2 linked regions of the Danio rerio genome follow. Each later gene encodes a partner of the first gene's protein in a complex. Links are inferred from orthologs where the notes say so. Each region holds a gene or a part of one and is shown on either strand. Other genes may lie near its edges.

Region 1 (7,297 bases):
ATAAGACAGCCTAAGGGTCCGATCACACCGAACGCTGTTTTTGAATGATTTGATGGCCACAAGCATTCTGCACACTGCTTACGAGCTCCTCGCATTTTAGCCATTGCGCTCTGTGCGCCTGCAGTTGAAGAAAGTCAACTCTAAGTGGAGAAAATCATGTTACGTCATTCACATTTTTTTTTCTTCTTCTCTAAAGCAAAGGCTGGGTTTCCGTTGAGGTGACAGCAGTGTTGATCAAAATGACAACAAGAGACTTTTGAGGAGAGACTAGCAGTTGCTGTTTTGAGTTACCCGGACATGTATGACTTAACAAATTTTAAATATCACAATATTATTAAATATTGCTATTATAGCAATATCAACAGCAACACTCGAGCACAATACGCAGCTGATTCAGTCATAAAAAGTGCACAGCACTTCTTTTTTTTGTTGTCAACTGAAAAAGGCAGTGCTGTGCACCTCACGTTTTCAGAACAGAAAAGTGCACTTGTTGTGACCCTAAAAAAGACAAAAACTGGATTAGATAGAAAATCCCAAACAAATTAGAACTTTAAGGACATTTACTTGACAAACCTCATGATTTCCAACATCTGAACAATGTCTTTCAGGTGTGATATCCATAGTATACGTAAAATAATAGACTTAGACCTTTTGAATTTACAAAATAACGCATGTAAAAAATTATGTAGAAAGTAATGTGCAATAATTATAATCTAATAAAAGCCTGTTGTCAATTATTCCTTACTTAAATCATTACTTGCTAGTGACTAACATTAATCAATCTTAATAACATATGTAAACAGGGATTGAGCAACTGTTTTGTGGATATTACCTTTGTTTTTAAACACGGACATCCCAGAAAAAGTTTTATATTTCATGCACTTCTTCATACCTCTAATTAGTAATTTAGAGTTGTCAAGTTTCAGAATGTAGTAAGTCGAGTTAACCTTCAATTTTTTTGGCATATTTACAAGGTTAATTTTTTTTGTCCGTTTTTCACAATTTTTTCTGATCATTCAGATGGCCTTGAAGAAGCTTTAATACATTAAATGTAAAAAGCAATATAAATCTAAAGCATTTCTGTCATTTTTTAAATCATAAAATGTGTTCGGGGATTGTTTTAGCCACCTCAAAAATGAAAATTCTGTCATTTACACACCTTTATGTTGGTAAAAAAACAAACAAACTGTATGTCGTTATCTAGAATGGATGATATTTTGAGAAATGTTTTATTGTTTTGTTTTTTATATACTATAAAAGCTAAAGGGATCTAATATTGTTTTGATTCTAATGTTCTTAAATATAATATAATATAATGTAATATAATATAATATAATATAATATAATATAATATAATATAATATAATATAATATAACATAACATAACATAATAATATAAAATAATAGAATAGAATAGAATATTTTTTTGAAAAATAAAGAAAAACATACTATTAAGAAATGACTTAAGGGTGAATTATTGACGCCAAATTAATAATTTTTAAGCAGACAATTGTATGAAATGTAAATGTGAAAGTAATTTTAGCAGTCTTACGAGTCAGATTCATCAGAACTGGACTCTGCTCTCGACTGTTCGGCTTTCCATCGCTTGTATTTGTCGATGAGCTCCGTCAGGTAGGATGTTTTCTTCGCAAAGCGCACAATGAGCTTGTGTTTGAGCAACTCTTTGGCTGTCGGTCTCTGAGGAAGAAGACAGAAAGACACAGAAACCATCACGACAGGTCCTATGAAACAAAACCTCATTGCTAATGCCTGATTCAACAGTACCTCAAGGATTTTAAAATGATCTTTTTTATTTTTATTTTTTAGTTTTGCAATACTTGCAGCAAATTTTACACCACTTCTATTATTGCTTTGAGGTGAAAATATATACAAACTTACTCCTCTTAATTTTTTGACCTCAAGAAAATTGATCTCTTTAATTTATATAAAGGAAAACTAGAGGTTACCCATAAATCCTGCTGTATCATATTTAAAAATGAAACCAGTTGTTTGAAGTGTCATCCATGTTGTTTGACCGATATGACAGTTGATGGAAATTATGCAGAGAATGCATGCTTATGTGTGTGTACGTGAGAGAGAAAAAGAGAGAGGGCTACGCTTATGACGATTATATACAATAAATAGAAGTTTATGAATCCGCTTTGCCATAACGTCACATGACGCAGATCACACATCAAAGGAAGAGTGTGTATGTGACAACTCAAGGCTTTACACAGCACACAAGCACATTGTGTTCGCAAATACTGTTTTCGTTTTCTTTTTGTACTTTTTTATTTATTGGTATTTAACAAGACCATGCACGGTGCAGAATACGAAATTATAGAGCGTCTTAGTTTAAACCGACTCTTACTTTCCCATAAAACTAGATATTATAATACATATACTTCAGAATAATTAAGAAATGACAGAAACCAATCATACCTTCCCACTACTATACAAAAAAAGAATTAAAACATTCACACAATTACTTCATGTTGTCCCAACACAAACCGATCAATTTAACTTAATTGATTAAACTAATTTAAGTGGATTGAACGTAAAAAAAATTAAGTTGTCCCCCAAAAAAAACTCAAGAATTGTGATGTTTCAGTTTGTTTTAAATAAGTTGTTTGAACAAGCAGCAAAATTTACTTTGTGTAACGTTTTTCAATGTACAACTATGCAGATTGCGCACTGTGGTGTGACAGGAATTCAAACACTGTGCTGACCGCTCAAAATAAGAGAAATCTACGACTATGTTGTGAAATTTTGTGACATTTTGCGTTAAATTCAGAATTCGCTGGGATCGCGAAATCCTGGAGGGTCTGTTTCAGGAACAAATATAGCACATGTCTAAATGAAAATGACCTCAGCAGCAAAAACAGAACAAATTGTTTTGCCAGAAAGATCAGTGAACGAGTTAAAAAGGATATGGAAAATGACCTCTGGGAGTCCCCAAAAAACATACTCACAAAACTGGGCTCTTTGTTTAGACAGGCCTCCACAAACTCTTTGAGCGGTTTGCAGTAGTTGCCCTCCAGTGTGGGGGGGTTGTTCTTTGGAATGAGGAACAGCACCTTCATTGGATGTAGGTCGGAGTGGGGGGGCTCTCCTTTAGCCAGCTCAATCGCCGTGATGCCCAATGACCAAATATCAGCCTGAGAACAAACACAACGTTTTCATGACCAGGGCCCGGATGCATGTTAAAGACCCCATGAAATAAAAAAAAGTTGTTTTTTTAGGTGTTAGTATTAGTATTGCTAGTTTTTAGGATATCTATAAGCTAGTGCGCAGTTAATCAGTGACAAAATTCGTGTTTAGAAGATACAAAACTGACATATACATGTAAAGCTTGTAGTTCGTCACTTCTGCCTAAATGAATCAACGGATTTATTCATGTTACCTCATACTTTAGTTTCTTATTAAATCTTGACCAATCAAATGATCTCTAGTATCTGACATGCCCCGCCCCCTTCAAGACGCTTCTCATTTGCTTTTCATTTGATCAGCTTGATCCCAACCACTTTCACTGGCAGCGCTGTGATGAAAACAAAATGCTATTGGCTGTTTTTTTTTATAAAAGGGAGGAGCTACCCCATGTCTCAGTCCCACCCTCTCTCTTTATGTGTCAGTTGAGATTACATCAAACATCGAATAAAATTGCACATTTTAAAGCACTTCACGGGTTCTCTAAGGACTTTCATGCAACCAGACCCAGTCCACTTCCAAGTCACTTGATGAAATCACATCACAATGATTCACTTGGGGAAAAATCTAACAAGTAGTCACGATCAACAGCAGATCCAGACGTCTGGTGCAGTGACTGATCTGCAGCACAGCCCTTGACTTTTGTTCAGTGGCTCTCACCTTTGAATCATAAGCGGACTGTTTGATGACCTCAGGTGCCATCCAGAAGGGTGTGCCCACGAAAGTGTTCCGCTTGATCTGTGTGTCCGTGAGCTGACCGGCCACACCGAAATCTGCCAGCTTCACCTCCCCTTGCTCCGACAATAATACATTTGCGGCTAAAAAAAAGAAATGAGAAAAGACAGTGTGAGGGAGAGTGTATGATAACTTCAGAAATGCAACATTTATGTCAAACTGGGGCCCCAAATGGGGTGCATAGAAAATAGGGGTGTAACGGATCACGGTTTATCACTGTTTGTTTAGCCTGCAATTATGCATTCAGTGTAAAGCTGCAAGATTAAACATTTAAAGATCGTGATCTCAATTCAACCCCACGCAACATGTATGATAAATGGTGATGATTTGCATGTTTGTTCCTTCGAAAGGGCTGCATTCAAATCTGTGTTTGATCGAGAGAGATACTGTTCTTACCCTTTTTCAGTTCGTTACAAAATTAAATAACACAATAGTACTGAGAGAACAGTTTATAGTTCAGATATAAACACACTGATGTTTATGGTAAAGATAAAAATCACAGTTTGATGGAACTTGACGCTAGTGAATGTTGTAGCAATTACACTCTGTTACCACCGGGTGGCGATAAACAACCTTTAAAACTATAGCACTGAATAGGTTTCCAAAAATGATAACCTGCATATGGCTATTTATTTAAATGGATAACATCGTATGTTATCAACTTATTGTATTATTGTACACATTTGCTTTACTAAAAAAAATGTAATATATTTTTATGTCGTTTTAATTTGATGTTTTTCCCTTCACAGTATTAATCATTTAAAAAAATTACAACTGTAAAGTTGTAAAATCTGATACATGCAAATAATACAGCCACTAGGGATGTAACGATTCATTGTGAGCAGGTTAAAAATTTATTCAAATATGGGACGATTGAAACCGGTTAAAATGTTAAAAGAATCGCAATACATATTTGAACATAGGGGGCGCTGTGTTATAATATAATATAAATGGAAAGCAAATGACATTTGTCCCTTTTTTTGCTGATCCGAAAAATGGTTCAATCAGTGACTCAAAAACCGTAGTGTAAATAAAATTAAATAATTGGTGATTCAAACCAGTAGAAATGTTGAACAAATCGCGATACATTTTTTCTAACAGAGGGGGCACTTTGTTATAATATAATATAAATGGAAAGCAAATGACATTTCTTCAACTTAGAATTATAAGGTTCTATCTGCGTTCTGAATGATTTTGAGATATTGAGCTTCAAAGTTTTTGCATTTCATAGCAAACAGTAAGTGTGTAACATTGTTTTTTTTAAATTAAAAAATGTTCAAATGTAAACAACTTATTTACATTATGGGATGTTTTTTTATAAGAATATGTCAATAACTCAATTTTGTTAAAAATGTCAGATAGAGCCTTATAATTCTAAGGTGACTATTTGGGTCTCTAAACCGAAAACAATTCAGTGACTCAAAATCCGCAGTGTAAATCGATTTAAATATGCAACGATTTAAACCGGAAATGTTGAACGAATCGTGATACATTTTTTGAAGAGAGGGGGCGCTGTGTTAAAATATAATATAAATGGAAAGCAAATGACGTGTGTCTGCTTTTTTGCTGAACCGAAAAATAGTATGATTCATAACTCAAAAAACGTAATGTAAATAGATTTAAATATGTGACAATTCAAACCGATAGAAATGTTGAACGAATCCCAATACATTTTTTAAACAGAGGGGGCGCTGTGTTATAATATAAATGGAAAGCAAATGACATGTGTGTCTCCTTTTATGCTGAACTGAAAAATAGTCCAATACATGGCTCGAAAACCGTAGTGTAAATCGATTTAAATATGTGACAATTCAAAACGGTAGAAATGTTGAACAGGAAAATTTAAACCCTAGTCCCATGCACATACACTGTAGAAAGAAAAAGAGGAAGACAAACACTGTAGCAATTTCCAGTTGAATCATGTCACGAAGACGCTGTGCTCTGAAGTGTGAGGGAAAGTTTCTCTACCCAAAGATGAGGCTGTGAAAAGTGAGTGGCTGAAGATTATTTTTGCAAGAATACCTCAGCATTATAGCCCCAGCCCTGTGCATTTTTCTAACGAGTGCTTTAGCAGTCTACACCCTTACAACGGGGGATTCATCAGCCGTTGGTTAAAGGAAGGATCCGAAAAGACTATTGATGTGTGGGACTTTGTCAGAGCTTGAAAGGAACTTTACAGTACACAGTTCATGGATCGGTTTCTTTTTTTTTTTTTTCAGATTGTTGGTTTAGTGTTTCAACTTTCAAGATTCATTTGTGTTTGTTTGTTTTCTCTCTAGTTCTTACTGTGATTCATGACACTATATTGTGTAATAGTTCTAAGGTATGTGACCAATAAATGAATCGTGAACCATCAGTAAAAGAGTCAATCATCTTTTAACCAGGATACTACAGTACACATTTGCTTTACTAATATATATATATATATATATATATATATATATATATATATATATATATATATATATATATATATATATATATATATATATATATATATATATATAAATAAAATATATATATATATATATATATATATATATATATATATATATATATAAAATAAATAAATATATATATATATATATAAATAAATATATATATATATATATATATATATATATATATATATATAAATAAATATATATATATATATATATAAATAAATATATATATATATATATATATATATATATATATATATATATATGAATGAATGAATAAATGAATGAATGAATGAATGAATATATATATATATATATATATATATATATATATATATATATATATATATATATATATATTTATATATATATATTAGTAAAGCAAATGTGTACTGTAGTATCCTGGTTAAAAGATGATTGACTCTTTTACTGATGGTTCACGATTTTACGAACTTTACATTTTAAAATCTGATATATGCAAATAATAAAGTCACATAACAGATTACAAACAAATCATAGAAGCTGAATAACACCAAGGCAAATATCTGGTGTCAAAATATGTCTGAATAAATTAAATCTTCTTCTGTCTATCTGGACCAACAAACATTCAAGTCACAGCAGATATGTGCTTTTTCATTGGACTCTGAATAAAACTGACCGACCAGTAAGATTTGGTTGCACAGATCTGCTAATGTTACATAAAACCGCAACTTCAAAGTGCTCCATTTTGCTAAGCGACAGTAAACGGCAGTGGAAGAATCCATAATTGGCTCTCATCTCTGTGCTCTTGCATTTCCCGTTATTTGATCACGGTGAAATTAAATAAAATCTGAACGGCTGTATGAAAAGATGTAAATACTGTTAGTGCTCATTTCTAAACGATGCAGGTGACAGATCTGACTGTTGAACAG
Region 2 (7,297 bases), on another chromosome or scaffold:
CCACAGCTAACAAACTCTGTCTGGTGCTTTAGGCAAAATCATGAGTCTAAAACTCAGTCGCTGTCATGATGTATTCAGGTCATTTCTGACCCATTTCTTTAAAAACAAAACTGCAAAGTTATTAGTATAAACTAGGGATGAACAATGTATGATTTGATGATTGATATCGCAATGTGTGCGTCTTCAATACACACATTGCAAGATTATTTGTTAAATATTTTAATTAAATATTATATATATATATATATATATATATATATATATATATATATATATTAATATTATTATTAAAAAAATAGTATATTATTAAATATTATATTGTTTTAAATTATTTATACATTGACGATCTGCTATTTGACATTTGATTTTTGTACTTGAATACCATTAGACACCTCAGAAAACCATAAAGCAGTTTATTTATTTATTTTTGATTGGAATTTATTATAATATCACTTCATAAAAAAGACTTGATCTCATCTCTGTTGATCTAAATAAATGAAATCTTCCAAAACATAGCTATTTAAATCATCTGTTGAAATTAGAATCATATCACAATATATGTTGCAGCAAAACAAAAAAATCACAATGTTTAATTTTTCCAATATTATGCAGTTCTAGTACAGACCTACCTAAATTATTTAGCATTATTTCATTTATTTTAACAGTTTTTTTTATATGTACGTACATACGTGCATACATTATGCATAATTATTTAAAGATTTTATAAAGTTTATGTTTGAGTAATTTTTTTGAAGGGGGGAGGGGGTATGTATGGGGTCCTGTGTCAAAAATCTTGATTTTTGTGCTGTGCTTTTAGTTAATATTTTTTATTTATTTATTTTGTGTGTGTGATGTCATTTTATTTTTTGTTGCTTTGTATTGTATTTTTGTATTGTTATTATTCGTATGTATGTACAAAATCTTGATTTTATGGTGTTTCATTTAGTGTTTTGTTCTTGTCTAGTTTTTGTTTTAGTTTTTTTGTTAAATTTTATGTTTTGTTTTGTCTTGTGTTGTCATTTTATTTATTGTTTTGCTCTCTTGTTTTTTGTTATGTTTAGTTTTGTGTATTTTATTTTTTGTTATGTTTTATTACATTTTTTAAGGTTACACCTTTTATGTTTGAGTCATTTTGGACCTGCGTATGTGGTCCTTTTAGGTGTCAAAAGGCTTGATGTTATTTTATTTTCATTCATACATATATTTTCTTTTCGGCTTAGTCTCTTTATTAGTCTGGGGTCACCACAGCAGAATGAGCCGGCCACTTATCCAGCAAATGTTTTATGCAGCAGTTGCCCTTCCAGCTGCAACCCATCACTGGGAAAGTTTATTTTTATTTAATTTTGTTTTAATTTTGCTTAAAGTAGATTTAATCTTTCCATGTTTGTCACACAGTTGTGAGTGAATTTTATTGATAATCATTAGAAAGTACACCCGAAGATCACATTTATTTGGACATATTTACAGGGTTCCCACATTTCTTAAAAGTTTTTCGAAGTGCTTGATTTTTAGACATACGGATTCAAAGCCTTGAAATTACTTAAAAACAAACGTAGATTCTTGAAAATGTTTAAATTTAAAGTTGATGGTGTTATTTCAACAATTGTCCTGTGGTACTTTCAAAAAATGAACAAAAAAGCTAAGAATATCATTTATTTAAAAACTTATATTTCAATCTTATACATGAACTATGACAAATAATGAATTTTAGCAATATTTTAGGAACCACATTTGAATATTGCCAGGATTAAAGTCAACTTATTATATTGAAGTTCTTTGAACATGACTTTAAAATGTAATAATGATGATGTTTTTAATGCCATTTTTTTAAAATGTTGACCTTTTTCATCAAGCGTTTTAATGCAAATATTAAATATAGGTGAAATGTTAAGTAAAGGAAGGACATTCATGGTGCTAGTCTATATATGCTGGGCGTGTGAATTACAAAGGTGCTTGATGTAAAATATTATTGATTTAAAAAGTCCTTGAATTTAGTGTCATGAAAGAGTGGAAACTGTATTTAGTAATATGTATAAGTAATATGTGTAATGTTTTGTCAGAACAAATATTTTAAATTTCATAAAGTTTTGAAATGGTTAGGTTCATGACTAAATGAAAGGTGTGTGTAATTATGAGTTGAATTTCAGGAGTAAAAAAGTTTTTTCAGTAAAAAAGTTAACTATTAAAATGTATACATTGATTCTTAATTTTATGTATCATTTTGTTTTTGATTGGGTTTGGTTTAGTGGTGCTGTTCTTTCTCTGGCTATGGGAGAGGAAGGAGAATCATGCTTCAGCGGGGGTCTGGATGGCACCATTCGTGGATGGAAAATCCCAGACCTCAACGTGGATCCTTACGACAACTATGGCATGTCTACTTAATGCTGCATGTCTGTCTGTCTGTCTGTCTGTCTGTCTATCCATCCATCTATCTGCGTATTTAACATTATTTTTATTTTGCATACATAGAGAAAAATGTATTTACACCATTTACTAAAAAAACTACCCAAAATAAGACTTTTTGTAGCTTTTGGCATTTTCACGCAGCTTTTTCATTTTTCTTTTCTTTAATTCAATTATGCAGTAACCCAAATTTCACAAAAATATATATGGAAACTTTTTTTTTGTTTTGGATTTATGATTTTACAATTTTAAACAGATTTTTTAGTCTGTTTGTTTTACTTTTTACATCTTTAATGTATTTATTTTATCTGGCTTGCTGCTAAAACTTCTGTAAAATTGTGATTATTAAACAGAGAATTCTACTATGTTTGTCAAAATCTTTTTAAATAGTCTAACAACTCCTTTTGCAGTTTAACATTCACAAACACTAGCCCATATTGAGAAGTGTACAAACCAAAGTTTCATTAATCAATCCAAAATATGCAAACTTCAATAACATTCTGAGTTTGATAAAATCTCTCACAGTGTCACTGTAAAAGACAGAGGTTTTTGCTTGAGTTTCTGTGCAGTCCTCCAGAGGGCACTGTTTGTAAATGAAATAACCTCACACACATACAATACGCAGGACATCCAGTAACAGTGTTTTATTTTCAGATCCTGGTGTGGAGAGTAGTGTTTTGTCAGGCCACGAGGACGCTGTCTGGGGATTGGCCTTCTCCTCCAGCCTACAGCGTTTGGCCTCCTGCTCCGCCGATGGGACAGTGCGCATCTGGGACCCTCATAATTCTTCCCCGTGTGTTTCTGTCTTCAACAAGGAGAAAGGTGAGGAGTGTTGTTTGTTTGTACTGTAAGTGTGTGTGTTTTTTTTGGCTAATTGACTTTTTGTTTTTCCAGAACATGGCACTCCCACCTCGGTTGCCTTTGTAAATGCAGACCCGTCCCAGGTCGTGGTGTCTTTCGATGGGGGCGAGACTCTGCTTTATGACCTTAACACAGAGCAAAGTATCATGGTCCTGGAGACTCAGACTAAAGATGGTAAAAGGCTGTTCATACTGGAAATGACATCCAGAAAAATATTACTCTGCGTTAAACACGTTTTGAAAGGCTTTGGAAAATAGAATTGTTTATAAATTAATTGAATTGTTCAGTTATATTGTTAAATGATTGTCATATATGATCCTTAAAGAAGGATGCAAATAGATTGATTGCTATGTAGTTTGCTATATTTATATTTACATTTTACATTTTAGCAGTTTAAAGATGTGTAAAGGGTGTATCTGTGTAATATGTGTGTTTATATGCAAATGAATAATTCATACTACACTTTTATTGCGAGATAAACAGTACATATTTTTGTTTTGTTTCTGTTTGCCAGGTTAATGGCTAAAATTAATGAAAACTTTAAGCAAATCAAATGTTAGTTGTGAGAAATATAATTATTTTTATTAATCTATCATATTATACATATTATAATCAAAAATGTACACAAAGTAATTCTCATAAATAAGCCTTCTGAAATATTTTAAATTACTTATGTGCATGTCAACTATTATCATATGTATCATCATTATTATTATTATTATTATCAGCATTACTTAACAGAATAAATAAGGATGAGTTAAAATAGTTTTATATAGTATTTATAGTTATAGGTATTATTATGTAAAAATGTCCTAAACTTTGAATAATTAAAAATAATGTTGACATTGTTTTTAAATGTTCTAGAATTATTTATTAGAATTGAATATTTAAAAGTAATGTTGACATTGTTTTTAAATGTTCTAGAATTATTTATTAGAATTGACTTATTACATGTGCACACCACAAACACACACATGCATGTGTATGTGTATATATATATATATGAGCAATATCACATGAGTAGCAGTGCGATGTGGCTGTATATCAGCACTGGTGGGAGACATACGGGCAGAGTGCCTTAATGTCCCACCGGAGACAATGTACAGCCAAATCACACTGCTATGAGTGTGATATTGTGTTTATCGAACAGTTTGACGGCACAATCGTAATCATATTAAAAAAAAATCAAAAACCCTTTTGTATGAGGATTTACTTTTGCCATTCATTTGCAACTGCAGCTGACATCAGAACAGCAGAAATCTGTGCTACTTCAAATGTCACTTTACAGCTATGACTTAAATGATTCCTTAGCGTTATATCTAAAGTGATGACAAAACAGGGGATTTTGCTCACATTTTAACATTATAAGGCTGAACGGCATGAAATTCCATCACTCTACAGAAATTTTCCAGTATATCTCTGTTGCAGATCAGAATAATTAACCCCGAAAAAGCCAAAGCAACGCAAGCACTACTAGATTACTATGGTATAAATACAGCACTACAACATACAAAAGAAAGAGATAGACTTAGAATGTCACTTACCTGTTTTAAAATGATTTGATCTGCTGTATTTTCAGTTTGAAAATACGCCAATCTTTTCTTCTTAAGCACTTATTATGCCAGGCATGTCCAATCTCGGTCCTGGAGGGCCAGTGTCCTGCAAAGTTTAGTTCCAACACCTATCAGACACACCTGGGCTAGCTAATCAAGCTCTTTTTAGAAACATCCTTGCAGGTGTGTTGAGATGAGTTGAGGCTAAAAGCTGCTGGACACCGTCCCTCCAGGACAGAGTTTGGACACTCCTGTATTATGTGGTCTGTGTCGCCATCTTGTGGCAGAATGTCAATTGTCTTTGCTGTGCTCAGTATGACAGGCTGATGGATGTCGACTCACTGAATCTCAGAATTTATAAATATTTAAAAAACAGTCGCTATCCCTATAGATAAACTGCATAGATTCAATCTAAACAACTACATTCTTGCCTAAAAAAGCCTCAAAAGTACAATATGTTGTCCAACAGGTGCAATATTTGTCGAACTGTAGTGAGTTTATTGATATGCTGTCACTCTATGTGGGCAGAGTAATACAGAAGGTTGAGAAGGCTGTACGAGTAGTGTTATTTGCAGGTGTAATTTGTTATTTGTATTATATATATATATATATATATATATATATATATATATATATATATATATATATATATATATATATACATAAAAATAATAGATATAGGAAGAAATATAACTAATATTATATGATGTAATGCGTGAAATAATTCCTGACCTGCATCATAATGTTACTTGAATATGATTGCTGGTCTATGAAGCTGTGAAGACAGTTTCTAATGGATTTGTCATCTACTGCACAGTAATACTAAAATACTGTTTTTGTTCATGTCTCCTGCAGGCAGCGAGCTGATTAACCGTGTGGTCAGTCATCCGTCCCAACCCATCTCCATTACAGCCCATGAGAACCGCACCATCCGCTTCCTGGACAACAACACAGGTGTGTGTGCTTTTGGTATTCATCACATCCCCACAAGTATAGCAATACCAGTCTTTTTTAACCTTGTATGAAAATTTTTGAACCCCATGAGGATAACGGCTTATAAATGATCCAGAATGAAGTATTTTGAAAAAGTAAAAGCATGTTTTATTGTGAGCGTAGAGTTGGTTGTCAAAATATACAGTCTACAGTTAAAAGCATGAAAAACCAATGTGCGTCCGTGTGTGGAGTGCAGTTTTTCTGTTAATAATAACGCTGTGTATTTTCCAGCTGTGCTCTGTCGGTTCTGTAAATACACCACCAAAGCTATTTGACTCTGCTAGCGTGTAATCACAACAGACCTCCAAAAGCAGTAAAAAAAAAAAAAAAAAAAAACTTTAGTGTAAAAAATATTAAATAAACCTCAATTGAATCTGGGCCAGGCATCAACCTTTACTCGCCAGTTTCTAAAGCCAGAGTACTTTAAGAGAAGAGGATGACATTGTTGGTGTGAAAGATTAGCCTGCGCAGAAAATGCACTGGAAGCATGAAGTCAGTGGAGTGATACCTGTGGCTTTGTATTCAGGCACATTAGGCTGCTTTTATTGGTTTGTTGTGGCTGTGTGGACGCTTGAATGTTCGTCTAGTGAGGTTAATCTAGATTTCACATGTTTTTCAGCCTGTCTTGTAACAGAAATACTTTAAATTATGACTTTTGGTAATTTTTTTAATCTATTTGGTCTTAACTAATGTGGAAAGTTATTATGTTAATATTAATTAGTTATTTTATTGATTCTAAGTAACTTGTAGATTAACAGTGGATAATTTTAAGGTTTTAGATTTAGGTAACTATATCAACCCTTTTTCACAGTTGTTTCTTTTGTTGCATTTTAATTCAATTTTAAAATGGCTTTATTCATTTAAAGGGATGGTTCACACAACACGAAAATTCTGTCATCATTTACTCATCATTCACTTGTCACAAAACTTTCTTCTGTTAAAAGCAAAAGAAGATATTTAGAAAAATGCTGAAAACTTAAGTTTAGGTGTGTAATGGATAACGGTTGATCTGTAATTTGTATGGGTCACAACCCACGGTTCAGAACTCGTGTAACCCACGGAATAATATACATATATATTTTCGTAGATTAATCCTAAAATTGTAATTATCACAGAGAAATCACCTTATTCAATCACAAAAATGATAGCATTTAGGCTTTTCTGTAAAATATAATCATGACAAAAAGTTATGGTGGGTTTCTTAGGTTATTAAAGGTGTTTTGTCACATTAATGCATTCAGTGCAAGCTGCACGATTAATTAAAAGATCAGGATCTCAACATCCAGGCAACATAAATTGTAAACGATGGTGATTTCCATGTTTATTATTCCTTCGAATTGCTGCATTCAAATCTGTGTTTAACAAATGCAAATATCAAGAAAGAGATTCAGTCTTCAGTCTTTTGAGTTAATTATAATGTTACAAACAGTCAAATATCACAGAAGTACTGGGATAACAGTTTATAGTTTAGAGAAAATTACTGATGT

What was found.
Region 2: stk24b (region 1) and strn4 share a complex: the UniProt entries of both Homo sapiens proteins name them as parts of the core of STRIPAK complex. The link is inferred for Danio rerio from reciprocal best matches to the Homo sapiens genes STK24 and STRN4.

Annotation. Positions count from the first base shown.
Region 1 is NC_133181.1:13,498,125-13,505,421, reverse strand, and holds part of stk24b (serine/threonine-protein kinase 24), read right to left. Parts: intron 4,026-7,297; coding exon 3,868-4,025; intron 3,159-3,867; coding exon 2,973-3,158; intron 1,699-2,972; coding exon 1,553-1,698; intron 1-1,552. UniProt on the Homo sapiens protein: Serine/threonine-protein kinase that acts on both serine and threonine residues and promotes apoptosis in response to stress stimuli and caspase activation.
Region 2 is NC_133190.1:13,788,413-13,795,709, forward strand, and holds part of strn4 (striatin-4), read left to right. Parts: intron 1-2,246; coding exon 2,247-2,368; intron 2,369-3,057; coding exon 3,058-3,225; intron 3,226-3,297; coding exon 3,298-3,438; intron 3,439-5,672; coding exon 5,673-5,771; intron 5,772-7,297. UniProt on the Homo sapiens protein: Calmodulin-binding scaffolding protein which is the center of the striatin-interacting phosphatase and kinase (STRIPAK) complexes.